Elephas maximus indicus: one gene and its partners. The protein of the gene in region 3 purifies or fractionates together with the protein of the main gene of each other region. This does not show direct contact. Links are inferred from orthologs where the notes say so. Each region holds a gene or a part of one and is shown on either strand. Other genes may lie near its edges.

Region 1 (10,607 bases), on a different chromosome or scaffold from region 3:
TTCTACAAGGTTACTAGGCACCAGCAGGAAGAGACAAGCAACGGCAGGCCTCCTTTCCTGGGGAGCCTCTGGAGAGACAGAAAACCTGACAGCAGGAATGCCCCATCCCAGGCCTCTAACCCCTTCAGACAATCACAATCAGGCACCACTACTGTGTGCAGAGCTCCAACCAGGTGTGGGAGCTTGACCAGGGGCTTTTTAAGCCCCGTTTTTCCTGACTGTGTAAGAGGATGTGGGGAGAGAGGACAGGACAGGTGCAGTACCAAGGACAAAACTCCCCCTCCCACCTCATCCCCTTCAGCTTACGTTCCCAGTATGCCTGCATCAGTGGGTTCTAGTGTGCTGAGGAGAATGTACAAGTGGTCATTCTTATCAATTTCCTTCAACTGGATTCCAAATACCTGTGGATGGGGAGAACAGCTTGTGAGGTCACATAAGTCAGCCTCCTGGGTATCCCAAGGCTCCCGGTGTTCCTAGAGGTTTGTGTGTGGCGGGGGGTGGGGGGGGTGGGGTGGGGGGGTGGGTGTGTATGAGGGGGAGAGAGAGAGATCAGTAATACACTGCATATAAAGCACTAAGCTAACTGCCTGGCACATAACAAACATGAAATAAATATACCATTGTTATTACCATCATCTTTGTGATTAGTGGGAATCTAGGGACACAGAAAATGGGGAATGGAAGGGAGAGGTGAACATCTGGAACACATTATAGGGCATGTCCAGCAGTGGACAGAAGTTAGGGCTAGTTGAGTGGTTTGGGTCCTAGCTGTGCTTTTACCACTGACTTGCTGTGTCATCTATGGCTCATCTATACCCCTCCATAGGCCAGCCTGACCATCTGCACGCTGGATTAGCGAGTCTCTGTGATCCCTTCCATAAGGGACACGTGTACCTTTGTTAATTCAAGGTTTCTCCACTGTGCCCACCCCCCAGGGCTGCCCCTTCACCTTCTCCAAGGAATAGCCTGCTCGTTCAATGATTTCAGGGTACACATCAGTGTATTCTTTGATGATGTCCTTCAGCATATCTGCAAGGGGAGAGTGTTACAAGCACCTGGGCTCAAGAAAAGCCAGGAAGCCCCCCATGCCCAAGCTATAGGCCCTTTACCAACGCTGCTGTGGGTGGCATAGCCAGGGTTCTGGGCTAATGAATAAAGATGCTAACACGGACAAATTAGGACTTTGGGAGCACAGCCGTAGGAACATAAGAGCAAGGATTATCCCTAGCACATGGAAGGGAGGGCAAAGGAGGGCAGAGCTTGGGGTTGGGGAGGAAATAAGCAGGACTCTACCTGAGCGTTTGATAGGAATCTTCGTCTGGTCTTTAACCAGCAGGTACTTTACCAAATCATTTGCCTAGGAAAGATGATGGGAAGAACAGTATATGTTGGCAAAATATTTAAAAGCATGCCACAGAAGAAAACAGGTAAGGTAGTGGAAAAGGCGTAGTGGAGAGGACAAGAGTTCTTACCCTCCCTTGCAAAAGGGCCACATCCCGAGGCGGTGGTGCTTCAGGTTCTTGGGATGACTGGAGCTTGGCAGCTCTACGGCGAACCTTGCCCCTACGGGCCTTAGGTGACCTCAGAGAGAGCAAGGCTCTACGGGCCCAAGCAGCCAACCGAGTCCTTGAAGCCCTGCGAGCCCAAAAGGCTATGGGGCCCCTTGAGGCCCTGCGGGCCATTGAGGCCATTAGGGCCTTTGAAACCCTTCGGCCACCTGTGTTTCCAGATGTTTGACTCTGGTCACTGCTGCCATCCTCTTCCCCATTCAGGTGCTTCACCTGCATCAACAAAGAAGAGGCTCGACATGACTAAGTGGAGCAGATGGTCCTTTTTCTTCGCCCTCTCTTTCAGGAAGCCCCCTTAATCCCACCCCTGTAGTAATGCCCTGACTCACTAGCCATTTGTTACCCTGTCTCGTAGGCTTGTCTTTCACTGTCTTCCAGGCAGTTTTATCTCCCAACCAGGCCAGAAACAACCCAAGGGTGGGGCTTGAGGCTTCTTCTCTTCCTGTGTTCATTACTAGCTCTGCTTGCATCACTCTGGACAAATCACTTCACCTCTGTGGGAGGCAGATTCCTTCTCTTTAAAACTGTGATTATGATCCCTAGCTGGTAAGATCTACTTTCAAGATTTAATGAGATAACCTGTATGAACGTGCCTAGCTCAAGGCCTAACTTATGTTTGCTACTAGGTAAATATAAACTAAATTACGTTCAGACTGCAGCTCTGCATATTCATGTGTCATCTTCCCACCAGTCTGTGAGCTCTCTGAAGACAAGAATTATATCACATTCCTCTCAGTATGCCCTACGGCTTTGATGAACACAGGCAACTTAGTAACTCTGGAAAGGCAAGGGTAGTGATTGCAGAGCTCTTACCTTTCTGGCTTTCTTGGCCTTGACCTTGGGCCGAGTATCCTGATTCTCCTGAGTCTCAGTAGCTGTACCCTTAGGCTCAGGTTCATCTGTGGGAGCCTGAGAAGCAGCAACCTCTGTCTCCAGGGACTTTGTACTGACCTGGGTATTAGCCACACAACTGACTTTTTTGGTCTTAGTGGCAGGCATTGGCACACCCTGCAGGTCAGCATTCTGCATCTTGGTGTCAGCTGCTGGACTGCTGTTTTCAGCTACCAGAACCTGGGTATCAGTCAGCTGAGGGGTAGGTGAGGTATGGGTGACAGCTGCCTCCTGAGCCTCTTGGGCCTTTGAGACCACTGTGGCCTTTGAGACCTCTATGGCCTTTGAACCCCCTGGAGCATTTGAGACCTTTAGGCGCTGTGAGACCCCTGGTGTCTTTGAGGCCTTGGGTGCCTCTGAGACCTCCAAATTCTGGGTCACTGCCAGTAGAGTCTGCATCACCAAGCTGCTGTCCTCTTCTGAAGCTTCAGCCTGCAAAAAGAGGAAGCAGGGAAGCTCACAGATCTCCTCCCCACCCTCAACTAGGCAAATGGCTCCAAAATTCCATAGCCGCACTTCTGTGACCTGTACTAACTCCTACCTGCAATGTTCTCTGACCACCTCAGCCCACCAAGGCCTCCTCTGAGCAGGAACTGACTACCAAAGAAGGGAGGACCCTCCCTCCCTTTCTCCACTGGGGGAGAGATGGGAGAGGACAGAGCCCAGGCAGGGAAGTGCATGGAGAAGAACAAGGATGGGACTGGAGAGGCCAAGGAATTTGGGACAGCAACAAGGGATGGAGAAGGAAGCTGGGAAGAGGTCAGAGAGCTTACCTGGAAGCGGGTTAGATCTGCACCACTCTCACTTGTGTCAGACATGTCTCAAGTTGGCCTGGCAAGAGCTGAGCCTGAAGGGGAGAAGGCCTGGGTCAAGGGGAGCTCCCAAAGAACACTGAACATCCTCTCCCCTATTCTGCCTGGAGGCTGATCCTCACCTTCTTTGGACTCCAATCCCAAGTCTCCCCCCTCCACCACCCCTCCAACGGCTCCATTCTCATACACAGGAATCCAGAGCGTCTAAGGTCTTAACTCTCTACAACCGCACCCTCCCCTTCTCCAGAAGATGTGCCAGCGCGGCAGCTCTGAGGACCCCGCCCCTTTTCCCAAAGCAACCCGAGACGAACGTGAAGGTCGATAGTGCGCATGCTAGTGCGCATGCGTGTCTGCAGCTGGGCCCATTTCAGCCCCGCCCGCTTTCCCTACATAAGCCCTTTCTTCGAAGTCCACCCCGCACATGCGCATTCAGCAGCTGGCGCTTCCCCGTGCAGGCCCTTCTCTACACGCCCCTTTCTAGAGATCCATACTACACATGCGCATCGTTCACCGTCTCAGTCCAGCACCCTTCCCAACACACGCCCCTCTTCAGGTCCACAGTACCATTTGGCCCGCTCCTTCCCCAGCAAGTCTCCCTCCGAACTATCACAGAGCCTGGTGATCCTAGCCCCTACCCAACTCACACCCCCTTCACCAACAGTGCCTCCAGGTCCCGCCCCTTTCCATAAAACGTCCCCCCCAACTCTAGCAAAGCGCATTTTGTTTCCGCCCCTTCCCTAATACACCCCCTCCTCAAATAAGTATTAGTGATTCTATCTTGGGCCCAGCCAAATTGGATCAGTCCCCTCCTTTACCAGACGGATCCGGTATGATCCGTTCCTTACGGCAGGTTTTCTCCAGCTCCCAGAGAGTAAGGCCAACCCTTACCGGCTCTGATCCAAAGCTGGACCCCCTGCTCACCTCTTTCTCCTACAACCTACGAGTGCGTCCGCTCTCTCCAAGCCCCTCCGAAACTCGGAGACTGCCCTCCCTCCTCCTTGCCGGAAGTGGACCCGCCCCTTTCCGCCTCCCTAGGGGGCTTCCGTCCCAGCCTGTCTGCCCCTCCCCCGGTCCTCATTCTTAATTCTCCCCCTCCGCTTTGCTCTGTATTCCTTATTCCCCCATCGCATTTTTCTGTTGCCCCACCAAATTCCCTATTCCCATTTCGTACATCCTCCTCCTCCTTACTTAACGTGCTCCCCCCCCCCATTATTCCCTAACCCCTCTCGGCATCTCTTCTCTGGATCTACATTCCCCCTCGGTATTCCCCTCCCCCTCATATCCCGGGTCCCCAACCCAAGATGCCGGATTCCCCGTTTTTCTCCCCTCTCGTCGCTGCTTCCCAGTCCACACAGCCTATTACTCTCTCAGTCGTCCTTGTTGCCTACATCCCACTCTCTCCCAGGGTCATCTCTCCCCCAGCTGCAGGGGTGCAGTAAGAATTGCCCACCTGCCTGGCTATGGAGAGGACCGGAATTACAGTCTGGCTACCAGGGAACCCCAATCCCAACGCCTCTCACCTTGTCCTCCGCGAGTCTGGGATGCGTCTGCTCTCCCTCAGTCCCTCTCGAAGTCTCAGCCTCCTGGACTAGAGCTGCAGCAAGCACAGCCCAGCCCCTTTCCGCAGCCCCCTGCCACCCTCCCCCACTTCGCCCTCCTGGAGGTGGGGCAATGGGGCCCGGTTCAGGGCTGTCTCACGCCAAAGCGCGTCTTTATGCCACTGTACGGTGCTTGGTCTGAAGCCCTTCCAACCAAAACCACCCCTCAGAGCAATTAATTCATTGAATTAATTTATTTTTATATCTTTATTTTCTTTTATTACAAAGGTAATGCGTTGTGAAAATTCAAATAATGCAGAAATATGTAATATACCAGTGAATAACTGTCCACATCGTATCCCCTAGAAATAACCACTATTGACGTTTTGATATACATTCCCCCAGATTTTTTTCTATTCATATACTAATTATTTGAGTTCTCTCCCCACAAATAGTACACTATACCTACTGTTGTGACCTGTTTTTTTTTCTAGCTACATAGTCTGAACATCTTTCCGTGTTACTACACATTTTTCTTAGAACAATTGTATAATCTTTTCTTGTATAGGTGTCTCCTAATTTATTTAACCAGTCCACTATGCATGGACATTTAAATTGTTTCCTTTTTTTTTTTTACTATTACAAACAAGGCTACAAAGAACATCCTTATATGTGTATATTTCTGCAATTGTGCTTGTATCTGTAGGATAAATTTATAGAAGTGGAATTGTTAAGTCAAATGCTAGAAAAAAAAAGGTTTCCATTTTGATACAAGATTTGCAGCCTTGTTCCCCAAATGGATTAAACTGAATAATAGTCCCAACAACACTATCATGTTTCTATGTCATATATATTACAAATATTTGGTTATTTACGGTATTTTTTAACTCAAGTCCTACAAAAAAGTCTTCCATTTTAATATAATTTGTCAACTTACTCCCAAAAAGATTCATGAAATAATATTCCCATGAACAATAATTCTTATATGTTTATGTGTCACATATATAACAAATATTTTCATGTTATTTATGATAATTTTTGCTGTATAAAAGGGTTTAATTATGTAGTCAAATATATCAGTTTTTTTCCTGATCACATCTAGGTTCTTCATTGTGCTTAGAGATGCTATCTACACTTCTATATTATAAATCTTTGTTTTTTCCAAGTACTTTTCATGGCCTTATTATTTACATTTATGTTTCATCATTCCAAAATTTGTTTTAGTATGAGGAGTGAGGTAGGGATTCCACTTTATTATTTTACACAGTCGTAATCCCTTATCCCCACACCATATGCAAACTAATCCATCTTTTACCCTACTGATTTGAAATGACGATTTTACCATATTAATTTCACATAAGTCTTTTAAAGGGAACAAAATAAGATGTGTAAATAATGGAAAATAGACAAAACTATCCTTAGTGACAGATTATATGAATGCCTACCTGGAAAACCCAAAAGTATCAACTAAAAACTATTAGAAATAATAATAAAATTCAGCACAGTGGTCAGTTACGGAAACAATATTCAATACCTTTCCTACATCCATATGTAATTCAAATGGCTACAAGTCCTTATGCTTTATGAAGTCACTGTTTCCTTTACTAAACAATATCATGAGTTCCTATGATCTATGGATAATTCAACACACACACAAACACATTTCCCAAGAATTCAAGGTGGGCCTCTCTTTTCCTGTCTTCTTTCTCTTTGAATTGCTGCTTCCTCCAAGTTTGTCATATCAGCTCATAACTTTCATGCCTCCTAGGTTCTCTCCCTTATCCACATAGCTTTATTTCACACAGGCACAACCCCTCCTTTTCTTCCAGTTCTGGCTCCCCCAAATTCCCATCTTTTCCCAATCATGGCAAGCCTTGAATGCCAGGGTAAGGACTTTGATCTTGATCCTGACAGCCCAGAGGGGTTATTGAAGAGTTCTAGGAATCAATGGAGTCCCTGGGTGGTGCAAACGGTTAACGCACTTGGCTGCTAACAGAAACTTTGGAGGTTTGAGTCCCCCCAGAGGTGCCTTGGAAGAAAGCCCTGGGGATCTGCTTCTAAAAAATCAGCCATTGAAAACCCTATGGAGAACAGTTCTGACACACATGTGGTCACCATGAGTTGGAATCAACTCAGCAACGGGTTAGGCATGGATATGACATAGATTTATGTTTTAGAAAGAAGACCCTAGCTGCTGTATGGAGTATGGATTAGATGTCTTCCTGGAAACAGGGAGAGCAGTTAGGACCTTTGCAGTCATCCAAGTGAGCAATGATTGTGACTTGGCCTAGAGTGGTAGCAGTGGAGGTAGTGAGAAGAGATTGAATCAAGAAGATACTACACAAATAAAAAAAGCAACTAGGCTTGGTATGGAGAGAGGGGTGAGGAGGGGGAAGGTGTCAAAGAGGACTCTTGGGGATCTGATTTGAGAAACTGGATGGTAATCCCTTTCACTGAGACATAGAATGCTGAAGGAGGAATGGAATGAGTTTAAGAGGAACTGAACATTGATTCTGAGGTACCTGTTGGACATCCAGGTGGAAATGTTCCACAGTCCATTGAATATACGTGTCTGAAGCTCAGGAGAGATGTCTGGGCTGAGGTTATAGATGTAGGCATCATCAATATATGAATGGCACTTTAATTCATGGGAAGGGAAAGAGCAACCAGGAGGAATTTGTAGTGTTAGAAGAGATGGGGCCCAGAGAAGGGCCCTGGAGACCAGCTGTATCTATGCTATCAAAAAACCGAACAAAACCCATTGCCATCAAGAAGATTCCAACTCATGGAGATCCTATAGGATAGAGTAGAACTGCCCCATAGGGTTTCCAAGGAGCAGTTGGTGGATTTGACTGCCAACATTTTGGTTAGCAGCCATAGCTCTTAACCACTACGCCGTCTAAGGAAAATGGTAAACCAATAACACCGCATTCCTGGAGGGACTGCAGAGATTACTGCCACCATCCACTTAAAAGTTGCAGGGGTGGTGATTTCCACGACATCCCCTTTCAAGTATTCGGCCTGTGCAAAAAACAGATGGATCTTGGAGAATGACAGTTGTACAGCACAGTATAGCAACCAATTTAAAATTGAACATCAGACTTTCCTGTTGCAGAAATTTCCTCAACCGTTCCCACCATTGTTCCTTCTCCTTGAGCCCCACCCGTCATTCCTGTTGAGCCCTTTTTCTCCCCCAACATACTTCTCAGTTCCCCTCCTTTCCATGTCCAGTCTCTCCCTTGAGCTGCTGGTGGAATCTCAGCTTTTTCCTTCCTTTTATATGCAAAGCAATTTAATTCATTTTGTATCACTCTAAGCCCTGAGGGCAACTTTCCACAACCGTAATGGCTCCATTTTGTTAAATAAAAGCTAAATTTTCCATAAATGAGGAAATCTGCCACCCACTTTTTGGACTAACACACATCTTCCCTGCTCTTTGTACATTGACTCATTCCTCAGAACAATCTTGTAAGGTGTTGTTGTTGTTAGATGTCATCGAGTCAGTTCCGACTCATAGCGACCCTATGCACAACAGAACAAAACATCACCCGGTCCTGCACCATCCTCACAATCGTTGCTATGCTTGAGCCCATTGTTGTAGCCACTGTATTAATTCATCTTGTTGAGGGTCTTACTCTCTTTCTTTGACCCTCTACTTTACCAAGCATGATGTCCTTCTCCAGGGACTGATCCATCCTAATAACATGTCCAAAGGGCGTGAGATGAAGTCTTGTCATCCTTGCTTCCAAGGAACATTCTGGCTGTACTTCTTCTAAGACATATTTCTTTGCTCTCCTGGCAGTTCATGGTGTATTAAATATTCTTTGCCAACATCATAATTCAAAGACATTAACTCTTCTTCTGTCTTCCTTTTTCATTTCCAGCTTTTGCATGCATCTGAGGCAATTGAAAATACCGTGGCTTGGGTCAGGCACACCTTAGCCCTCAAAGTGACATCTTTGCTTTTTAACATCGTAAAGAAGTCTTTTGCAGATTTGCCCAATGCAATTTGTAATTTGATTTCTTGATTACTGCTCTCATATGCTCTCATGGGTGTTGATTGTAGATCGAAGTAAAATGAAATCCTTGACAACTTCAATCTTTTCTCCGTTTATCATGATGTGGCTTATTGGTCCAGTTGTGAGGATTTTTGTTTTCTTTATGTTGAGGTGCAATCCATACTGGAGGCTGTAATGTTTGATCTCCATCAGCAACTGCTTCAAGTCCTCTTAGCTTTCCACAAGCAAGGCTGTGTCATCTGCATATCAAAGGTTGTTAATTAATCTTCCTCCAACCCTGATGTGGAGTTCTTCAGATAGTCCAGCTTTCTCAGATTATTTGCTCAGCATGCAGACTGAATAAGTATGGTGAAAGGATATAACCCTGACACACAACTTTCCTGATTTTAAACCCTGCAACATGCCCTTGTTCTGTTCAAATGACTGCCTCTTGGTCTACGTACAGACTCCTCATGAGCACAATTAAGTGTTCTGGAATTCCCATTTTTTGCAATATTATTGTGATTTGTTATGATCTACACAGTCAAATGCCTCTGCATAGTCAATAAAACACTGGTAAATATCTTTCTGGTATTTTCTGCTTCCAGACAAGATCCAGCTGAGATTAGAAATGATGTCCATCATTCCTCATCTGCTTCTGAATCCAGCTTGAATTTCTGTCAGTTCCCTGTCGGTGTACTGCTGCAACTGTTTTTGAATTATCTTCATTAAAAATTTACTTCTGTGCAGTGTTAATGACATTGTTCAATAATTTCCACATTCTGTTGGATCATCTTTCTTTGGAATGGGCACAAATATGGGTCTTTTCCTGTTGGTTGGCCAGATAGCTGTCTTACAAATTTCTTGGCATAAATGAGTGAGCACTTCCAGCACTACATCCATTTGTTGAAACATCTCAATTGGTAAGCCATCAGTTCCTGGAGACTTCTTTTTAGCCGATGCCTTCAGTGCAGCTTGGACTTCTTCCTTCTATACCACCGGTCCTTGATCGTATGCTACTTCCTGAAATGGTTGAGTGTTGACCAATTCCTTTTGGTACAGTGATTCTGTGTGTTCTTTCCACATCCTTTTGATGCCCACAGAACCCTTCAATATTGGAACTCAAGGCTTGAATTTTTTTCTTCAGTTCTTTCAGCTTGAGAAATGCCAAACGTGTTCTTCTCTTTTGGTTTTCTAACTCCAGGCCTTTTTCACATTGTATTATAACGCTTTACTTTGTCATCTTAAGCTGTCCTTTGAAATCTTCTGTTCAGCTCTTTTATTTCATCATTTCTCCCACTCGCTTTAGCTGCTCTACATGCAAGAGCAAGTTTCAGAGTCTCTTCTGACGTGCGTTTTGGTCTTTTCTTTCTTTCCTGTCTTTTTAAAGATCTTTTGCTTTCTTCATGTATGACATCCTTGATGTTATCCCACAACTTGTCTGGTTTTCAGTCATTAGTGTTAAACACATCAAATCTATTCCTGAAATGGTCTCTAAATTCAGGTGGGATATAGTCAAGGTCGCATTTTGGCTCTCATAGACTTGTTTTAATTTTCTTCAGCTTAAATTTGAACTTGTACACGAGCAGTTGATGGTCTGTTCCACAGTCAGCCCCTGGCATTGTTCTGACTTTTTTGAGCTTTTCCATCATTTCTTTCCACAGATGTAGTCAATTTGGTACCTATGTATTCCATACTGTGAGGTTCATGTGTATAGTTGCTATTTATGTTGTTGAAAAAAGGTATTTGCAATGAATAAGTCATTGGTCTTGCAAAATTCTATCATGCAGTCTGTCGTTT
Region 2 (9,391 bases), on a different chromosome or scaffold from region 3:
GGTTGCAGAAACTTTCTGTGCTGAAACATTTTTCAGCGGAAATGTAGTGAATCTGCAAACTGGGAACTTTGGGGCTTGTTATGACAGCCTTCTGTTCCTCAGTTTCTTCGATATTCAAAGGAGGGAGTCAATATACATACATACATAGGCCTTTTGTGTTTTAAAATTGTATGATCTCATTTGCATCCAGTTTAATAAGGATTGAACCCTTAGGAATGGGATTTGGTGAGGAAAGATGTATGAAGAAACAAGGGCTGAGACCTAGATTAGAGAGAGCAAGGTCAAGAGAGATCAATCACTCTGGAGGTATCTGAGAACCAGGTCAGTGAGGAGGGATCTTTAATGGTACTGTTACATTGTGAATTCCATCTAGTAGGGCTTCTCTGCAGAATTCCACCTAGAGTAAACATTTGTTCAGTTGACATGTGACTGTGGCTGACTTTCCCAACTAAACCTATCAGGCATCTGAAGTAGAATGAGTAATCATTAATCTTCTGAGGAATTGATTTAGTTGATTAACTTTCTCGGAAATTTGTGTCCTTTTCTCCCAATACAGGTCCTGGATAACTACAATTTAGTAGGCCATTTCCAAATTTGTGTGTGTGTGTGTGAGCGCACAGACGTGTGTGTGCAGACTTCCGCCATTTTCTAGATTTAACTTTCTTAGTTATTTGCTAAAATTATGTGTTAATAATCTCTTAATTATGGGATATAGTAATGCATGTCTTGATAGTTTCAGATATATGGGAATCACCAACTTATTTCTTTTTCAAACATTACATATGTACTTCTAAGTGTGATTACGGACATTCACTCATTCCAGAAGGACTTGCTAAATACATACTGTATGCCAGGTACTGCACTAAGTGCTAGGCAAGAAGCAGTGAATACATTGTTATTATCCTCATGACCTGTGTGGATAAGTACCTAGCTTCAAACAAAAACCGTTGCCTGTGGAAACATTCATTTCCTCGTTGATTCTTATTTAATGATTCTATTCATTTTAAGTTATAAAGAATGATAAAGTGGCAATGTTAGTGAAGATTTACCAGACAGAAAATATGCTTAGTTACCTTATTTACCCGATACACAGTGTGAGAAGAGGAAAATGTTTGGAAAGACTAAGTTTTATTAACACCACAGCAGGAAACAACCTTATGCTTATGTTTCTTTATAGATCAGTGGGTCACACATAATTCAAAACTGACAAAAAAGCTGAATCTTTACATTAAATGTGTTCTTCCTGAAAATCCTTCTGTTTGCCAGTCTATCTTCAAGCAGTAAAATTTGATTATGCACCATCTTATATTTAATATGTCACATTTACATGGGGAAATAATGAAGGCACAGCTAACACAAGCTACTTATGAGCTGGGGGTGAGGACACACTTGGATTGGTTCTTCAAGAGTATATTTTTCCAAACATACTAGTTTCAGTGAAGAATTCTTATCATTTTCACAGCTACACTCTAAAAGCTACATGACAAAAAGACCTCACGAGGATCAAACTCCGTAACACTGGGTACACATGCTTTAGAGAATTTGCTGTATTCTACATCTCTTCAAGAAAGTGAATTCTTCAGAATCATAGGGAGTAATTTAATAAACTTTTTCACTTTTTTTTAACTTTCGTAAATAGACAGTACCAAGAAAACACATAAACATGAGATTGTAAGTAATGAATAAGTATTTTTAAGATATACAGGTTATATGTCTTCCTTCACTGATCCAGGTTGTTTCCCTAAATTCAGATATTCGAGAACATTCTTCAGAACTTGAAGTGGCAGTTTTCCTGGCCTCATCAACAGTAGTGTCATGATCTCCATCGCAGGCTTTCTCCTTCCCAACACTCTCCCCTGACGTGGAAAGCTGATCTCTGGGTTACACAGCCATCTTAAACAAAGATAACATTTTTCTTGGGCTCTGCTTTTTCTGCACTAGGAAATTTCAGGAGGACTAAAGGAATTGAAGAATTTAGCTCTGAGAATGTGTTCAGTCTCGGCTCGGTGTTCCATTTATAGTGTGATAGTTTGATGAATGGGTTTCAAATGGACATTCTTTATTTCACATCTACTTGACACCCTGTGTAAGCCTCAGTTTCCAATTTTCACAGAAGAAATCAAGAAAAAATATAGTTTTAACTGCTCTTCTTCAAACGCTTTTAATATATTTATTGTGTTCAAAATGAAAATCAAATCTTAAACTTGTGGGCTGGCCAGGACCTGATTGCTTCATTTAATATATTTTAGGGACATAAGAATAGGTTCACACTGTATTTTAGTCAAAAACCTGAGCCTTTTTAAAGTCCACCAACGTTCACAATTGTTTGTTTGGGGTTTCTTTTTTTTCTCCTTGGTCTTCTTTCTCTTCAATTTCTGCCACCTCTTATTTATCCGCGTCATCTGACACGTCAGAGTGAGGGTCCTCATCGTCCGACTCCTCCTCCTTTTCTTCCTCCACCTGCTCGTCCTCGTCTTCCTCCTCCTCCTCGGCCTCTAAGGTCCAGGCACATCCCTCCATTTCGCCGGTGAGCTCATGGATCTTGGCAAGTAAGGGCTTGTAGATGTCATTATACTTCTTTTCCAGAGCCTGGAATTCCTTATCAAATTTGGCTTCTATCTTATCGCATCGCTTCTGAAGCTTTTTGAGGGCAAGGACTCGGCATTTCACCGAGCTGTGCAGGCTCTCGAGAAAGTCATTTCTAGGCTTCGCCGCGTTCTCGGCCGGCGGCTGGGGCGCCGCCGCCATCGGCCCCTCCGCGCTGCCGTCGTCTCCACCCTGCGCGCCGGCGGCCGCCATCACCTCCTCCGCAGCCGCCGCGCTCGGCGCCGCAGATCCCGCGTTTGCCGGGTCTGCCGTGTCAGAGGGCAAGCCGCACGGGTCTAGGGTGCTCTCGCCGAGGCCCGGCGCCCGAGCAGGACCGGGCAGCACTCGTGGATGCGGCCGCGGCGAGTCGGCCTCGGCGGGGAGGAGCCGCGGGCGGAGGGAGCGGAGGCGGCGAGGGGCGGCCGGGCGGCGGGCCTGTGACGCGAGACCCGCACAAAAGGAGGCCGCCGAGCGGCCCCGAGGCCCGGAAGTAGACGCCTCGCCCGTCGCCTCCCCGACCCTGCGATTTCGGGCGGATCTCAGGCCCCCTTCCCATCCGTTCATGTTTGCGCACCAGCTGCGCGTCAGCCTCGGAGCTTGGATACCCAGATGACGCAGTCCGGGTTTCTGCTCTCAGAGACCTCACAGGGGAGTCGAACAGGAACAAAACCTCCCACTGAGGTAGGGGAGGTGCAGACACAGAGGTACATCCAAGACGCATGTTGGCACAGAAAGCGTGGCCCACAGAGCGTTAAAAGATCAGTTCTGTGCGCAGGAGGCGGCGGTGGGGACCTCACAGAGAAGGAGTCTTGAAAGAGAAGTAGGAGTTCATGCAAGTGGCCATTAAGGGACTCTTGACAGCGGTCATTCAAACGTCCTACTGCAGTTGGTCATTGCAGGCCCTGCTGTTAGCAGCGTTCCATCCAAGGGTATTCACCCGTTACCGTCACACAGAAAATCAGTAATAAAAACTGCCCGATGGAAGACTGTTTCATTGAAGGACAGCTTCACTCTGAATCGACTAGGCCATTGTTTCTCAAACTCCAACTTGGAAAAGAATCACCTGGAGAGATTTCTGGGTCCCACCCCCAGAGATTCTAATCCAGCAGGTAGAGTTGGGGCACAAGAATTTGCATTTCAGATGTGCCAGTCTGTGGAGACCACCCTTTAAGTAGCTCTGGACTGGACACCTTGTTTGATGGTATTAAAAAAAAAAAAAAAAACCCGATGCCCTCCAGTCGATTCCAACTCACAGGGACCCTATAGAACAGAGTAGAACTGCCCCATAGGGTTTTCAGGGAGCAGCTGGTGGATTCGAACTGCTGACCTTTCGGTTAGCAGCTGTAGCTCTTAACCACTGCACCACCAGGGCTCCTTTGTATAGTGATGATAATAAAGATTAAAAAACTAGTTTCCAGCAACCTTCTCTTAACACAGGTGAGTTTAAAAAATTTATAGTTTACTGACCTGTTGGTAAACCAAACTCCTTTGTTCCTCTGGTTGGGATCTGCCCCTTTTAATGGAACCAGGCTTTTACTTCTCTAGGGTTTGGGAGGTGGGGGTGATAGAAGCTTTTTATAAATATGCCAAAAAACAGATTCAAAGTCATTAAGAATATTTAATACATTGAAATACAGCACCCACCCTATTTCTCTCAGGGTCATAAAACAGTAGTATATCTCTACTTTCTAAACATTGAGGCGTTGGTGGCTCAGTGGTAGAGTTCCTGCTTTCCATGCCAGATACCCAGATTTGATTTCCAGCCCGTTTACCTCACGCACAGCCACCACCGTTCTGTCAGTGGAGGGTTGTGTGTTGCTATGATGCTGAACAGATTTTAGCAGAGCTTCCAGACTAAGATGAACTAGGATGAAAGGCCTGGCAATCTACTTCTGAAAAATCAGCCAGTGAAAACTCTGTGGCTCACAGTGGTCTGATCCCCAACCCCTCGTGGGGATGGAGAAGCATTTCATCTGGTAGTGCGTGAGGTCCACATGAGTCAAAGGCTGACTCGACAGGAGCTAACAACTTTCTAAACAAGTCATGTGCTTCTATAACTTTGTTCCACTGTGTAGAATGTCCTTCTCACCCATCTTCTGGCAAATTTTTTTTTTTAATAATTTTTATTGTGCTTTAAGTGGAAGTTTACAAATCAAGTCAGTCTGTCACATACAAGCTTATATACACCTTACTCCATACTCCCACTTACTCTCCCCCTAATGAGTCAGCCCGCACCCTCCTTCCAGTCTCTCCTTTCGTGACAATTTTGCCAGTTTCTAACCCTCTCTACCCTCCTATCTCCCTTCCAGACAGGAGATGCCAACACAGTCTCAAGTGTCCACCTGATACAAGTAGCTCACTCTTCGTCGGCATCTGTCTCCTACCCATTGTCCAGTCCCTTCCATGTCTGATGAGTTGTCTTCAGGAATGGTTCCTGTCCTGGGCCAACAGAAGGTTTGGGGACCATGACCGCTGAGATTCCTCTAGTCTCAGACCATTAAGTCTGGTCTTTTTATGAGAATTTGGGGTCTGCATCCCACTGATTTCCTGCTCCCTCAGGGGTTCTCTGTTGTGCTCCCTGTCGGGGCAGTCATCGGTTGTGGCCGGGCACCATCTAGTCCTTCTGGTCTCAGGATGATGTAAGTCTCTGGTTCATGTGTCCCTTTCTCTCTCGGGCTCATAGTTATCGTGTGACCTTGGTGTTCTTCATTCTCCTTTGATCCAGGTGGGTTGAGACCAATTGATGCATCTTAGATGGCCGCTTGTTAGCATTTAAGACCCCAGACGCCACATTTCAAAGTGGGATGCAGAATTTTTTCATAATAGAATTATTTTTCTGGCAAATTTTTATTCTTAAAGACCCAGTTCAAATGTCATCAGTGCAATGAACACTTTGCAAGATTCTCTAAGTGGAAATTGTTACTTCTTTCTACGTGTAACTATAATAGTTATCCCACTGCATAGTGCATTTCAGTGTCTGTATCTGCCTTACATTGTCACCTTCTTAATTATGGAGTCCAATTTTGTATTTCCCCTTGTCTCTGTACCAGTTATGGTGTCTGGTACACAATAAACACTCAAATGTTTGCTGAACGAGTGGATGAAAAATAAGTATAGACCTTGTGATAGGAGAGCCCTGGTGGTGCAGTGGTTAAGCACTGGGCTGCTAACTGAAAGGTCGGCAGTTCAAATCTACCAGCCACTCTGCAGGAGAAAGATGTGGCAGTGTGCTTCTATAAAGATTCACAGCTTTGAAAACCCTACGAGGCGTTGTACTCTGCCCTGTAGGGTTGCTGTGGGTCAGAATTGACTCGACAGCAACAAGCTTAGGGTCTACGTAAGGACCCTTGTAGCGCAGAAGATCTAAAACCAAACCCATTGCTGTCAAGTTGATTCTGACTCATAGTGACCCTATAGGACAGAGTAGAACTGCCCCATAGAGTTTCCAAGGAGCGCCTGGTGAATTGGAACTGCCCACTTTTTGATTAGCAGCCAGGGCTCTTAACCGCTATGCCACCAGGGTTCCTTGTGGCACAAGGTGTTAAGCTAAGTGAAAGGTTGGTGGTTCGACGCCACCCAGTGGCTCCATGGGAGAAAGACCTGGTGATCTGCTCCTGTAAAGATTATAGCCAAGAAAACCCTATGGGACAGTTCTGCTCTGTCACATGGGGTCGCTATGAGTTGGAATCAGCTCAACGGCACCCAGCAACAACAGTCTATTTAAAACCTCCATTGTTAGTGAATCCAGATTTTGTCACAACAGCCATTGCCTTCGTTCCTGAGCCACTGGGACTGACAGGCCATCCTGATTCCTGATGCTTCAGGGTGCCCGAGCTGCTTTAACTAGACTGATACTTGTTTTCTGAGGCACAGCTTATGCAGGAAAACTGACCCTGCTAACCAGCTGAGCAGATCTGCCTTCAGAGAGAAGAAAATGCTGCAGTGGTAGAAACAGTTAGGTGTTCTACTAGCTGAAAGACTGATGGTTCGAACCCACCCAAAGTTGTCTTGGAAGACAGGCCTGGCAGTCTACTTCTAAAAGGTCACAGCCTTGAAAAACCCATGGAGCAGTTCTAATCTGCATACATGGTGTCGCCATGAGTCAGAATCCGCTTGACTGCAGCGAACGACAGCAGGGTAGGGTTTCATGACCTACTTCCCTTCTCCACCCTGATTTTACACCTTTTTCTCAGGTACAGCCAAACCTGTGCGATGGGAGAGGCTTTAGTTTTCAATAATGACTTGGTTAATGATGGTTTCCTGAGCTCTGAGTAATGACATTCGGGGTTGATTGGGCAGAGTGAGTTGGACTTTTGGCTCTGCCATGTGGGGTTTTACAATCCTGGGTAAGCATTTAATTTGGCTGATTCTCAAAAGAATATAAAATGGGTACAAAACCTGCAGGTCCTTGTGAAATTCAAACAAGTGAAAGTTCAAATGGTTATGAACTATAACATACTGTACAAAGAGTACATAATTTATTATAGGAGCCCTGGTGGCAAAGTGGTTAAGTGCTTGGTTGCTAACCAGCAGGTCGGCAGTTCAAATCCACCAGCCGCTCCTTGAAAACCCTATGGGGCAGTTCTGCTCTGTCCTATAGGGTTGCTATGAGTTGGAATCGTCTCAATGGCAAAGGGTTTTAATTTATTATAACTTGTTACGTATTTTATATAATGTGCATTAATTTATTATAATCACCCCTTGAATGTACACAAAAGGGTACTTTATTATAATCATCATCTGAATATAGCCGTTCAGACATCTTTGTTGTTAGCGGCCGTCGAGTTGCCCCTGAATCATGACAGCTCCGTGCGCGATGGGATTGGACTCTTGTAATCTACAGTGTTTTCACTGGCTGATTTTCGGAAGTCGATCACCAGGCCTTTCTTCCTAGTCTGTCAGTCTGCAGGCCTCCACTAACAGTAGCGGTTGCACACGAGGTGTATTGGCTGTGAATTAAACCCAGTCTCCTGCGTGAAAGGAGAGCATTTGTTTATAAAAATTATTTGCCTTATGTGTTTTGGCTCTGTATGCCATTTTAAGAAACCATTATTTAAAGCTCACGCCCAGTTTGCTGCATCCTGTGCTTTACAAAATGTGGAAGACGAATCCAACTTCTGGAGTGTTCTATGTAACAAACTTGTGAGTCAGGCAGAGAGAGAGTGGGCTAGCCCTGAGTTGCCATATAGCAGAAGGGAGTTTGGGAGGTTTTGTTTCAACATTTAATTGTTTTGTGCTGCCTTTAGACAGCTGCTATTTGGAACATTCAAATGGAAATAAATTCTGCTTGTCCTGGTAGTCTAGAGAGGCATTTAGCTGCTTGAGTAACCTCATGCAGGACATCTGTTGATGACAACACTGGAAAAAATGTGATTGCCAAGACTCGGGTCTTGTCCAGAGGAGCTCACAATCTAACGATTGATAATGTAGGTGACTGAGATGTGGGTATGAAATAACTCAATTTTTAAAAATCTCGTTTCAACTGTTACCCACATGTGTCTAGAAGGCCAAGGAAAGTGAGACAGGAACAGGACAGAGAAAGAGGTTACTAGGGATGCTCAAGAGAGATATGTGCTGGGGAGGAAGAGGGGGAGGAAAGGGGAAGGGCTTCTCGGTCCAGAGTGGTCAAGACTAGAGTTGTTCCGCCATAGGTGCTAACCCCTTTCTAGGCGTCAGTTTCCCTTTATGCAGACAGGGTAGGCTAAATGTTCATTCCAGATGTAAAAGCCTCAGTTTTATGATATAGTTTTGAGAATAAATTTACTTGTGCGTGGCTGAAGGTTGTGGAGCTAGGATACTTGGGTTCAAATCCAGGTCCCCATTTACTGTCTGTGTGACTTTGGGCCGCTCACTGGACCACTCTTGGTTTGAGAGTCCTTCACACTGAGAATAGTGACTGGCAGAGAGCAAATACCAGTGTGTGTAAGCTGTTATCCCCCTTGACATAAGCTGATAGAATGTAGGAGGCTTTTAGAGCTAAGCCTTGGCAATATAGAAACTACTTTTTTTCTGCGTGATAGTAAAACAATAAAAAAAAAAAAATTTAGGAAGTTTTGCCCTCCCTCAGATTAAATCGCTGCCCCAGGGGTTTGCCAGGAGCGAGGGAACGAACTGAAGGGTTTAGGGTGAGGGGATTAGTGTTAGATTCCTCTGTAAGCTCTCTCCTTTTTTTTCCATCTGGGTTACCCTGTGATCACCTGGTAGTAAGGGTCTCCTCAGGTTTGGTTTGTAGCTTGTAAAGAAACACTTGGGTACTTGACTAAACAAATTCGTAATTCTGTAACAGATCGATTTTATCAGAGAAGGCCTGCTGTTACATAATGGTATCTGTCCACAGGTTGGCTTCATATTTCCCTCCAATGTTTTGCTGAGTGGAGAGGAGAGTGCAGCTCTACTCCACATGGAAGCCTTTGGGCCCCTGCATTTTCAGAGTAGGGGACAAAAGATTTATTCTACAAAAGCTATGCTGAGTAAAAGAAACGAAGGAGGAAGGACAGGGATAGGAAGAGTCCCTAGCCCGGGGGGTCTGCCAAGAGCCTGGAGCCTGATCAACTGCTTCTGCAAATTCAGGGCCTTGGGAGAGAGGACAACGGTGGCTAACATGAATTTGGGGGCAGTGGTGATTCAGTAGTAGCATTCTCATTGCCTGAGAGGGAGACCCAGTAACCTCCAGTGCAGCCACCACCCATCTGTCTGTGGAGCCTTGCATGTTGCTATGAGGCTGAACAGGTCTCCGTGGAGCTTCCAGACTCAGACCGACCAGGAAGAAAGGCCTGGTGATCTACTTCTGAATATCAGCCAGCGA
Region 3 (11,614 bases):
CGGAGTCAACTCTTTCTCCCTCCCTCAAGCTCTGACAGCCACCGATCTGTTTTTCATCCCTATAGTTTTGACTTTTTCATATGCTATATAGGTGGAATTACATGACTTCTTTCACTTAGCAAAATACATTTAAGATTCATCCACATTGTTAAGTCAATCGACAGCTTATTTCTTTTTATTTCAGGGTAGTATTCCATTGTATGGATGCGCCAGGGTTTATCCGTTCACTTGTTGAAAGACATCTTGGTTATTTCAAGTTTATTGTGATTGGAAATAAAACCAAACCCAGTGCCGTCTAGTCAATCCCGATTCATAGTGACCCTATAGGACAAAGTAGAAGTGCCCCATACAGTTGATTGGAGATAAGGCTACTATAAACATTCCTGTGCAGGGTTTTTTTTTTTCTTTGTAAACATAGGTTTCAATTCCTTCGAGTAAATACCCAGGAGTGAGATTGCTGGGTCATATTCTAGGTATACGTTTAACTTTAAAAGAAACTGCCAAACTGTCTTCCAAAGTAACTGTACCATTTTGCACTCCCACCAGCAATGAATGAGATTTCCTGTTGTTCTGCATCTACAGTACACTAGCATTTGGTACTGTCAAGATTTTTAAGCAATTCTAATAGTCTGTAATGGTATCTCCTTGTGGTTTTGATTTTGCAAGCACTGCATTTTTTTTTTTTTATAATTTTTATTGTGCTTTAACAAATCAAGTCAGTCTCTCACACAAAAACCCTTATACACCTTACTACACATTCCCAATTACTCTCCCCGCTCTCTCGCTCCACTCTCTTTTCGTGTCCATTTCGCCAGCTTCTAACCCCCTCCCCCCACTCTCTCATCTCCCCTCCAGGCAGAAGTTGCCAACATAGTCTTAAGTGTCCACCTGATCCAAGAAGCTCACTCCTCACCAGCATCCCTCTCCAACCCATTGTCCAGTCCAATCCATGTCTGAAGAGTTGGCTTCGGGAATGGTTCCTGTCCTGGGGCAACAGAAGGTCTGGGGGCCATAACCACCGGGGTCCTTCTAGTCTCATTCAGACCATTAAGTCTGGTTTTTTGAGAATTTGGGGTCTGCATCCCACTGCTCTCCTGCTCCCTCCAGGGTTCTCTGTTGTGTTCCCTGTCAGGGCCGTCATCGGTTGTAGCTGGGCACCATCTAGTTCTTCTGGTCTCAGGATGATGTAATCTCTGGTTCATGTGGCCCTTTCTGTCTCTTGGGCTCGTAATTGCCTTGTGTCCTTGGTGTTCTTCATTCTCCTTTGATACAGGTGGGTTGAGACCAACTGATGCATCTTAGATAGCTGACAAGCATTGCATTTTTAAGATTCATTTATGTTGCCATGACATTTGGTGCTCTGTTGTATACTGAATGCTGTAATATTCTATGATGTGTATTAAAATTTCACTATCCATTTTCCCAATAAGAGACACTCAGATTTTCTCCAAATTACACATATAATTTACTGTCTTTTTTATGATGCCCAAAATTTCAATATCTGCTTTCTTTTTATCAGCAGCTGGTTTTATGGATGAAGAAAACAATATCCGAACAGGGAATGACAAAATCTTCCTGCATAGATTAGATTGACAAGATTTTCTTATATAGATTCTATGATAAACATAGAACTGATATATAATAGTATTTGAAAAAGGACTACTTACATAACGTATTATAACTTCCTATTGTTTTTAATAACTTCTTTCTTTCCTTTCTCACTTCCCTTTTCCTTCCTTCCCCACTTCTGTTTGCTTTATTCTTTCAAATAAAACATTTATCGAAGGTCTTTTTCCTGCCAATCATTATCCAAGCCGGGGGTCTACAAAACAAGTATACCACCCTACAGCAACTAACGGTCTCTTGCATGTGGGGCAGAGGGGAGCATGGGCTCATTAGTAATGTAAGAGCTGTCTGAAACACAGACGGGAATGCATCCAGTTCGGCCTTGGTGAATCAGGGAAGGTTCCTCAGAGAAGATAAGATTTGAGCTAGATCTTGAAGGAAAAATAGGAGGGGAAATCAGAGGGCATAAAACACCTTGTGTGTTGAGGGTCTGGTGAGTACTCAAAGTCGTATAGCGTTCATGACAGTGGGTAGGAGGAGGTATAGCTAGAACATGGGACAAATTCATATTGGGATGGGCTTCGTAGGTCTTATTTTGTCCTGTAGACATTGAGGAGGTTTTATGGCAAAGTAGACTTGATTAGAGTTGTATTTTAGAAGAAAAGCTTTTACAGTGTAAATTGCAGAGGAACAAGAGATTGGTATTAGGCTAGTCTGAGGTTATTGCAAATGGTCCAGGTAAGAAATATTGATGACCCAAGCCAAGGCATGGATTATTTTCTACCTAAGTGGTCTACTTACAAGAAAGCAGAAAATAAATAAATAAAATCTGGAAAGACAGAACCATATTTGGCATGTCAAAAAAAAAAAAAAGACAAATCCAAACACTACAAAAGGACAACATAAGGGATCCTTGTAGTGCTGGAACTGTATCTTGACTGTGGCAGTAGATTCATGACGCTCTGCATATGATAACGTTGTATAGAACTAAATTCACAAATACCCACAAATGGATTCAAGTAAAACTGGGGAAATCTGAAAAGGATTATGGATTGTGTCACTATCCAGATTGTGATATTTATTGTACTGTAGTTTTGCAAGATGTTTACCACGGACTGCCAAACGAATGAACAATTCTGTCTTGGAAGAAGTATAGTCAGAATGCTCCTTGGAAGCAAGGATGGTTAAGACTTCATCTCACATACTTTGGACACATTATCAGGAGGGACCAGTCCCTGGAGAAGGGTATCATGCTTGGTAAAGTAGAAGGTCATCTAAAAAGAGAAAGACCCTCAATGAGATGGATTAACACAGTGGCTGCAACGATGGGCTCAAGCATAACAACCATCATGAGGATGGTGCTAGGCCAGGCAGTGTTTCGCTCCGTTGTACATAGGGTCGCTATGAGTCGGAATCGACTTGACAGCACCTAACGACACAAAACCCACCACCACTGTGATGAACTCAGTAAAGGTTACACAATAGCTCTCTGTATTATTATTTCTTATAACTGCATGTGACTCTACAATTATCTCAATAAAAATTTCAAAAAAAAAAAAAGGCAAAATAAAGGTGTTTTCAAATAAACCAAAAAATGCCTATTAAGCCTTTTGTGGATGTAGAAGACAAAATTCAAGGCACCTTGTCCACAATTCCCTATTCGAGTTTTGACTGATTTTACATTACATTTGTAGATTAATTTGAAAAAAATTGGGGAAAAAAAAAAAAACCCGACCAACAAGACTCAACACTACGGCAATATGTTACATAAATGTATCTTGTACAGTTTTTTGATGATTTTTGCATACTGATCAACTGGAAGGAGGAAAAAATAAACATTTATTGAATAACTGAAATGCAAGTCATTACTCTGGGGGTTTATACACATTTTTCTATTTCATGCTAACGAAGGAAAAAAAAAAAGAAGAGGGAGGTTTTATTCAAGTTATTAATATATTTTAGAGATGAGGAAGCCTGAGGCTCAGTGTGGGTTATTTTGCAAGGTCAGAGTGTTGAGGATGAACCTGTTATGCCTGTTTGGCTTGAAAGCCTGTGTTCTTTCCTTCTACGTAAGGGCTGAAGTACAGACATAAGCACATTTAAGGTACCGTTTCTATTATCATCTTGTCTGGTTGATTCCTGTAGTGGCTGTAACCAATATTTAGAACTGTTGAATATAATATTTTTACAATAATTAGTATGAATTATTTCAGCTCAGGAAAACATGTTTTAAAATTTGTGACAAGATAGCTTTTAATAAAATATTTTACTAAAAATAGTGTCAGGTACTATTAGACGACTGCAGAGTTTTTTAAAAAAATAAAACAAAAATAAAACCTCAGTAAGAGGTTGATAATAGTTAACTTTTATTGATGTTTATTGTGTCAAGCACCATGTTAAGCAATTTACATGTGTTATTTGAAATTTCTCAACGACCTGATGAGGAATGCACTTTTATTGTCCCCATTTTACAGATGCGAAAACTGATGCTTAGGGTGGTTAAGTGACACATTCAAATTTATACAGTTAATAAGTGGTAGAATAGGGATGAGTCCCTGGGTGGCACAAACAGTTAAGTGCTAGGCTACTATCCAAAAGTTTGGTGGTTCAAACCCACCCAGAGGTGTCCTGGAAGATAGGCCTGGAGATCTGCTTCCAAAAGGTCACAGCCTTAAAAACTCTAAGGAGCAGTCAGTTCTACTCTGCACACATGGAATTGCCGTGAGTTGGAAACAACTTGATGAAAAACACCATCAACCAACAGCAACAGAATAGAGATGCAACCTGGGCATCATTACTCAAAAGTCATACCTCTAAACCACTAAGCTACAATGCTGTAAAAAACAAACAAAGAAACCTACCAAATGAAAATGATAGGGATGAAGAAAAATGCAACTTCAACTGAGTCCAAGATCAGTGACCAGAATCACCCTTTACTGTAATTAAATTAGATGAGCTAACTACATTGTGTGATTTTGGGGGTTTAAAAGAGGACTTGTTCAACGGTATCTTCGGGCCAGTCACCTTCTACTCCTTTGTCTCATTTTATTTTCTTAATAGCTCTTTTACCTAATAACTGAAATTATTTTACTTGGTTATCATTTGCCATACTTTACTAGAACATAAACTCTAAATAAAGTCAAGAATCTTGTCTTTCTCTGACAATTCCAACCAGGGACTTGTTAGGTAGTCCTGGAGAGAAGGGCAGAAAAATGTAGAACAAAACTCAAATTCTTAAAAAAGGTCAGACTTACTGGACCAGTAAAGACTAGACGAACCCCCCGAGACCATGGCCCTGAGATACTCCTTAAACTTGGAATTCAAACCACTACCTGAGATCACCTTTCAGCCAAATGACTACTAGCCAAAAGTTTGGCCCATAAAATAAATAACATTACCTGTCAGTACTGCGCTCCTCCAAATGATTGTCTAGATGAAACCAAATGGTTAATGTTTACTCTAGACCAAAGACAAGAAGGCTAGGGTGGATGTGGAAGCTAGATTAATGGAAACAGAACAACCAAAATGAAAATAACGAGAATGCTGATGTATTGTGAAGAATGTAACCAATGTCACTGAACAATATATATATTGTAAAATGAGAATCTAATTTCCTATGTAAACTTTCACCAAAAAAACCCCAATAAAATGTTTAAAAAAAATCTTGTCTTTCTTGTTGATCGTTGTATTTCTAGTGTCTTAAGTGGTGCCTGACATATGTTTATCAAACAGATGCATCAATAATGTGCCTTCCCTGGACTTAGATAGTAAAAGCTTAAATTTACAAACTAGTTCAAAGCACCACATTTAAAAGGGACGAATTATAAGAAATTGTATTAGTTTCCGAGGGCTGCCATAAAAAATTACCACAAATTCGGTGGTTTAAAACAACAAAAATGTATTTTCTCACAGTTCTCGAGGTGAGAAGTGCAAATTAGTACTCTAGGGGAAGATTCTTCCCCTTCTGATAAAACCAGGTGGTCCCTGTCTTCTGGCAGCCTGATTGCAATCTCAGCCTTCATCTTCACATGGCATCCTTGCCTCTGTCTCTTCTCTTTTTGTAAGGATACCAGTCATATTGGATTGGGCCCAACCTACTCCAGTATAACCACGCTAGGTTAATAACATCTTCAAAGATCCTATTTCCGAACAAGGTCACATCCACCGGATGCAGGGGTTAAAACTTCAACATATCTTTTGCGGGGACGCCATACAATCCATAACAACCAGTTGCTATACTGATTGCAACTTTGCCCTTAACCTGTTACCTTGGTTACCTCATCCATAAAATAGTGATAACAGTACCTACCTCATTGACTTACTGTGAATATGAGCTAAAACGTGTAAAACGTTTCAAGTGTAAGCCGTTTAGAACAATGCCAGACACAGTAAGCTAGAGTATCTGCTGCCTTATGAAAGTAGCTTGGACTTCTCTCTTCAAAGAGTTTCGGTGGCTCTCAGGCCACTTTGAGAATCACTGTTGTAAGAGTTAATATTAGTTAATCCAGCATCGACTGAAGAATAGGCAGGAGGCTTCACAGGCTTGAGAAAGATTAAAAAGCGAGTGTTCTCATTAAAAAGCATCCTGAGAATACACAAATATGCCACTTTTCTCCATCAAAAGAACTAAATCATAAATGAGGGCTCACAAGTCAGGTATAAGGAATAGAGGGGGAGCGATGAGGAGCACCCCGGGATGGCCCGAGACCTCTGAGTTGAGAAAAAAAAAACGGGCTTCTGACCCGTCGAGGTGGTCACGAGGAACGAACTGTTGTTCCCAGTGAAAAAGTCGGAGGAGGTAAAAGGGTTATTGGGGGCTGAGGAGTTGCAGGAATTAGGCCAGGAAAAGGATGGGAACTGAGGTGGGCACGAAGCAAGATGCGGCGGGCTGGGAACGCAGTGGCTGGGCCAGTTCGGCCCCCTCCAACCCGGCATGACGCCGCAAGGGTTCGAGGTAGGCCCAGGCCTTGGTGGGGATCACGGCTCCTTCCGCAAAAGGATGGGGTTGAGACTTCCTTTCCCGCGTACCGGGGAGCAACGCGATGGCGGGGCGCCTGTTAGGGGACGGAGGCGGGAACTCAAGGAGCCGAAGCGCGGCCCTCCGCAGCCAGCGGGAAGAATCCCCGGCAAGGTTGCGGAGGTCGCGGGTAAAGGACGGTTCTGTTGCTAGGCAACCTGGCCTGAGCCCGCCTCCCGCTGCGTTACTAGGAGACGGCTAGGCCGGGGGGAGGGCGGCGGAGCGGGACCTACGTGCTGACGCTAATTGTATATGAGCGCGAGCGGCGGGCTCTCGGGTCTTTTTTAGCGCCATCTGCTCGCGGCGCCGCCTCCTGCTCCTCCCGCTGCCGCTGCCGCCCTGAGTCACTGCCTGCGCAACTCCGGCCGCCTGGCTCCCCGTTCTAGCCGCCGGTAACGGTTGGGGGCCTAAAAAAGGAAGGGGGACGTGGAGTCGGCGGGTGGCTTGCGCGGAAGGGAGGGACGAAGGGACGGAAAACCGAGAGCTGCGGTTGCTGGCGCCTGGGCCTCCACACTCTTGTTATCGGCCCCACAGCCTGCGAGGGGGCACCGGGGCTGGGCAGCCCTTCTTCCAGGGACCGCTGAGGAGACGCGGGGCTCGGTGCGGCTTGTGGGGAGCCGGGGTCGGCGCGGCCTGTGAGGCGGGTGGCCGCGCTTCTCTGCGCAGACGTTGCCGTAGCCCCACCGGCTTCTTCGCGCGGACGGGAGTGAGGCCGCGGCGGGGCCCGCGCGCCCTGAGGAGTGGGCAGCAGCTCCTCAGAGGAGCGGGAGTTGCTCAGGGTGCGGAACTCGCCACCATTGGCGCCTCCGTTTCTCTCTCAAAATTAATCCCGAAGGGAGGCCGCTGAGGGGGCTGAAAAGAACGGCGAAGGCTGCGAATTCCGGGGGGGGGGGGAAGGGGGGTTGTGTGGGGAGGAGGCCCCGAGGCAGGGAGGGGCGGGAGATGCTGCAGGGCTCACAGGCTCTCCGCCCACTGGAGGCGGTGGCCGCTTAGGGAGGGGAAGCCCCGCGCGGCTTCCCTCGACACGTGGTAAGGAGCTGAGCGGCCGCTGTTTGCCCCTGATAGGAGCCCCTGGTCTGGGTTGTCCTTTTACTGTAAATCGTAGAGATGGTGGGATGTGAAAATGAATAGTGAGCAAGTAAGTGTAGTCCGGAGGTTTCAACCTCTTTTCCGCTTCTCTTTGGTCTTAATCTTTTTATTGATACCGGAGGGAAGTATCAGTGTTAGCTTATGCATGATGCGGGGCAGGGTCTTCACTGCTAGGATTTTAAAGAATGGCTAGCTATTACTAACATAAGATTATTTTGTGTACTCCCAAGCACAGAACCTGATGGCGTATTGATCAGGGTATTTTAGTTGGAGAGGTAAGGTTGACCCTAATGAAACCCCTAAGCAATTCTAAGATGGACATAAAACATTTGGCCCTGTAAAGGTCTTTCATTATTCTAGGACTTCTGTTGCCCCCTTTTTTTTTTCTTTTTTTTAACAAATTCCTTCCTTTATCGAAGTTTCTAGAATAAGATACTTAACTAGCCATTTTGGTTTTAAGGTGAATAAGAATGAGTGGGGGAAGTATGGGATGGAATGAAGCATTTAATGTACGTTTTTTGAGCCAAGTTTGTAGGCCGGTACCTTGTCCATGTCTCCACTTCTCCCTCAAAAAAAAAAAAAAAAAAAAAAAGGGTCATCGAAGGGAGACGGAGGTTGAGGTCCAACCTTTCGGAAGAAAAAAGGATAAACCAGGTGCAGGATGTGTCCTCAGGGAGCTCACTCCTGTTCTAGACGTCATTGTCAGATCATTAGGCTTGAAACGACTAAATTTAAAAGTCTCAGAAACTTGTGCTTCATGCCTGGTTTCAGGAAACCTTGGAATTTACCATTTTGGAAACGTAGATGACAGCAAAACATCTTTTCAGACTAGTATCTGGGTTTTTGTTTCTTGTCAGCTTATATTATTAATCCTCTACTTAATTGTTTTACTAACGAAATGGTACACATTGTCTTTGATTGCATAAGGGAAAAACCTTACATACAGGATAACCCTTTAAACCGACAGACGATAAATGAGGTTTACAGTGATCCTCAGGGACTATTAAGTTCTAGGCTAGTTTGAGGTTGAGTTCAAATCTGAACTGTATATATAATTTAGCTCTAAGAAGGCTGGTCCTTTGGAGGATAAATGGAACTAAACATTGATAGTTGGACTTTGACATCTGTCATTATTGATTTGGTTGGTTCTCTTTTCAGGTCAGTATTTTTTGTTAATTTGATAAATGTCATTTAAAAAATTTTCACCATAGCAACTTGAAAATCATTGTACCTGTTGATGGTATTAGGCTCATTAATTGATAGAATTATTAAGCTAATACTGAATATGACATGTGGCTGTTATTGTCCTGTAATGAGATGGGGGGCGCTGTACCAGAACTAATTTAATCCAAGATGTTTCTAACCCATATTGCATTCAGGTGACTGGTTCTATGCTAAATTACGAGAAATATATTTAGAATAAAGGGCTCTTTTGTAGGAGAAGGGACTGAAAGGCAGATCCAAAAGATCTAACCAACTAGCTTTGTAAAGCGTTTTATATATTTTCCCTTCTCTCTACTCCCTGATTACCCACATGAAAATTGATGACAATATTATCTGGAGAAGGACATCATTCATGCTTGGTAGAGGGTGAGTAAAAAAGAGGAAGACCCTCAAGGAGATACATCGACAGTGACTGTAACAGTGGGCTCAAATATAGCAACCATTGTGAGGATGGCACAGGACCAGGCAGCGTTTCATCCTGTTGTACATGGGGCTGCTATGAGTTGGAACTGACTTGACAGCACCTGACAACAATATCATGCAAGTGAATTGTAGTTTATACAAAAAAATCACATGGAATTTTGTAAGACAGAAATCTATGGAAGTTTAAAGAGCTGAGCGCTTAGAATGTTGCCTGGCACGTAACACGGTAGGCACTCAAATACTTGCTGAATAAAATAAAATATTTGCTTGCTTTGTTCAATATTAAGGAGCCCTGGTGGTGCAGTGGTTAAGTGCTCAGCTGCTAACCAAAAGGTTAGCAGTTCAAATTCATCAGCCACTCTGCTGGAGGGAAGACCTGGCAGTCTTTTCCCATAAAGATTACAGCCTTGGAAGTCTTATTTATTGGAGCAGATCTCTGTCCTATAGGGTCGCTGTGAGTAGGAATCAACTCGATGGCAATGGGTTTTTGGGATTGGTTAATATTGCTTGGTTGTAAACTTGAAATATTAATGAAAGATAGAAATCAGACGAAATGAATTCTTATCAATATAGAAGTGGTAATGAGTAATCTTTTTGGAGCCTCAAGTCTAACCGAACCTAAAACCCTGGTGGTGTAGTGGTTAAGAGCTGTGCTGCTAACCAAAAGGTTGGCAGTTGAAATCCACCAGGTGCTCCTTGGAAGCCAGATGGGGGCAGTTGTGCTCTGTCCTGTAGGGTTGCTCTGAGCTGGAAGAGACTCAATGGCAGTGGGTTAATGGGTAGCTGATTCTTTGAGTAAATGTTCGAGCATCTGTTTTGTAGTGTATCGTAGATTTTGGGTTATATCTTGAGCAAAACGGGCAAATTGGTTGCCTGAATATATTATAAAATATCAAGTTGTGATTAGTGATACGCAGAAAAAAGATTAGGGGAAGGAGGAAATAGAAGAAGTATTTATAATTCTTTACACGCAGTGGTTAAGTGCTATGGCTGCTAATCAAAAGGTTGGCAGTTCAGATCCACCAAGTGCTCCTTGGAAACTATGGGATAGTTCTGTCCTATAGGGTCACAATGAGTCAGAATGGACTCAAGGGCATGTCTTGGTTTTTTACACACAAGGGAACCTGTTATAATGGTCATTTTTAGTCCCATTTCAGACTACTTTGATTTGAATAAGAAGTATTAGCTCTTTGTTGGGCAGAGTGGGTCTTGGAAGGTGAGCTTTTGTTTTACAATCATCCTTGTAATTTTAGTACAATGACAGCAGATCACTAGAGCACAGTACTGGACTTGCCACAGAAAGTGGCCATTTCCTTTCACTGCTACGTATTTTGATGCCTTTTTTTTTTTTTAAAAAAAACCCTGTTCTTAAGTTTTAAACATTTTGGTATTTATTGGAAAAGAGAGCTGTAATTTTTTAACCTACAGATTACTTTGGGTTATTTTTAAGGTGCAGGGTATAGAAATAGAGCACTACAGTGGTAGATAGCATAGTGGTCAGTTCAGGCACTGTTTTAAAATTTTCTACTTAACTCATTTTAATACTTCTAGAGGTAGGTATTAACATTTTAATGAGGAAGAAACTGAAGTACAGAGAGGTTAAAGAACTTTTTCAAGGGTACATAGCTAGTGATTGAAGGTAACATTTCAAGTGTTGATTGTGTATTGGATTTTAGAGGGAGTTTTCTTGGTTGCTATACATCAGCTTGAAATTCAAGAACATCCTTGGGTTCTACTGTGCTCCAGGGAAAAGTTACAGCACTTCGTCATGGTCATATGTTCCTCTTTCATGGAGTTAGATTACTTATAGTAAGGTAATGGTGTCTTAGCCTTAGGCCTACCTATTCTGTGTGAGTAAATTGCTTCTGTTTGTTAATGCATAACGTTGAATGGCTGGGTTAAGTTTTACCAAATGTCAGGGAGAGTCAGAGGAGCTGCAGCTCTTAATTGAGGGCCAATGAAAGGAGAGATTCCCTTTCATAGAGTGTTAGAAGCAAATGGCCATCTGGGAGATAACGTTTCTCTTTATGCCAGTTGAAATTTGAGTGACACAGTTGGGGCAGGTATGTATAGCATAAGAAAAAAACTGAGGTGACTGTAGATTAGGTAAGGCATACTGTTCTTTTAAACAGTGGCATCACTAGGGTTGGTGTCACCCCCTCTCCCCATGGACCTCCTCTGGTCCCAGACAATACAGAATCCTCAGTAATGTATTTTGTACTAATGTTGACTTGTAAGTCTTAATTCCCATATATCACTTTTTTCCCTTTAGGTACTACTACATTCTCAAAAAAG

What was found. Proteins that work in one complex are often made in the same cells at the same time.
Region 1: the proteins of NAP1L1 (region 3) and MAGED2 purify together in Homo sapiens (affinity purification with mass spectrometry; 4 studies listed by BioGRID and IntAct, counting the BioPlex papers as one, with this or other methods). This does not show direct contact. The link is inferred for Elephas maximus indicus from reciprocal best matches to the Homo sapiens genes NAP1L1 and MAGED2.
Region 2: the proteins of NAP1L1 (region 3) and NAP1L5 purify together in Homo sapiens (affinity purification with mass spectrometry; 3 studies listed by BioGRID and IntAct, counting the BioPlex papers as one, with this or other methods). This does not show direct contact. The link is inferred for Elephas maximus indicus from reciprocal best matches to the Homo sapiens genes NAP1L1 and NAP1L5.

Annotation. Positions count from the first base shown.
Region 1 is NC_064846.1:113,000,404-113,011,010, forward strand, and holds the start of MAGED2 (melanoma-associated antigen D2), read right to left. Parts: upstream 4,884-10,607; 5' UTR 4,792-4,883; intron 4,280-4,791; exon of another isoform or gene 4,193-4,279; intron 4,166-4,192; exon of another isoform or gene 4,087-4,165; intron 3,500-4,086; exon of another isoform or gene 3,394-3,499; intron 3,307-3,393; 5' UTR 3,278-3,306; coding exon 3,233-3,277; intron 2,892-3,232; coding exon 2,382-2,891; intron 1,782-2,381; coding exon 1,473-1,781; intron 1,358-1,472; coding exon 1,294-1,357; intron 1,030-1,293; coding exon 950-1,029; intron 402-949; coding exon 307-401; intron 1-306. UniProt on the Homo sapiens protein: Regulates the expression, localization to the plasma membrane and function of the sodium chloride cotransporters SLC12A1 and SLC12A3, two key components of salt reabsorption in the distal renal tubule.
Region 2 is NC_064841.1:27,698,468-27,707,858, forward strand, and holds NAP1L5 (nucleosome assembly protein 1-like 5), read right to left. Parts: upstream 3,320-9,391; 5' UTR 3,151-3,319; coding exon 2,386-3,150; 3' UTR 2,384-2,385; downstream 1-2,383.
Region 3 is NC_064822.1:138,214,142-138,225,755, reverse strand, and holds the start of NAP1L1 (nucleosome assembly protein 1-like 1), read left to right. Parts: upstream 1-6,850; 5' UTR 6,851-6,975; intron 6,976-11,614. UniProt on the Homo sapiens protein: Histone chaperone that plays a role in the nuclear import of H2A-H2B and nucleosome assembly.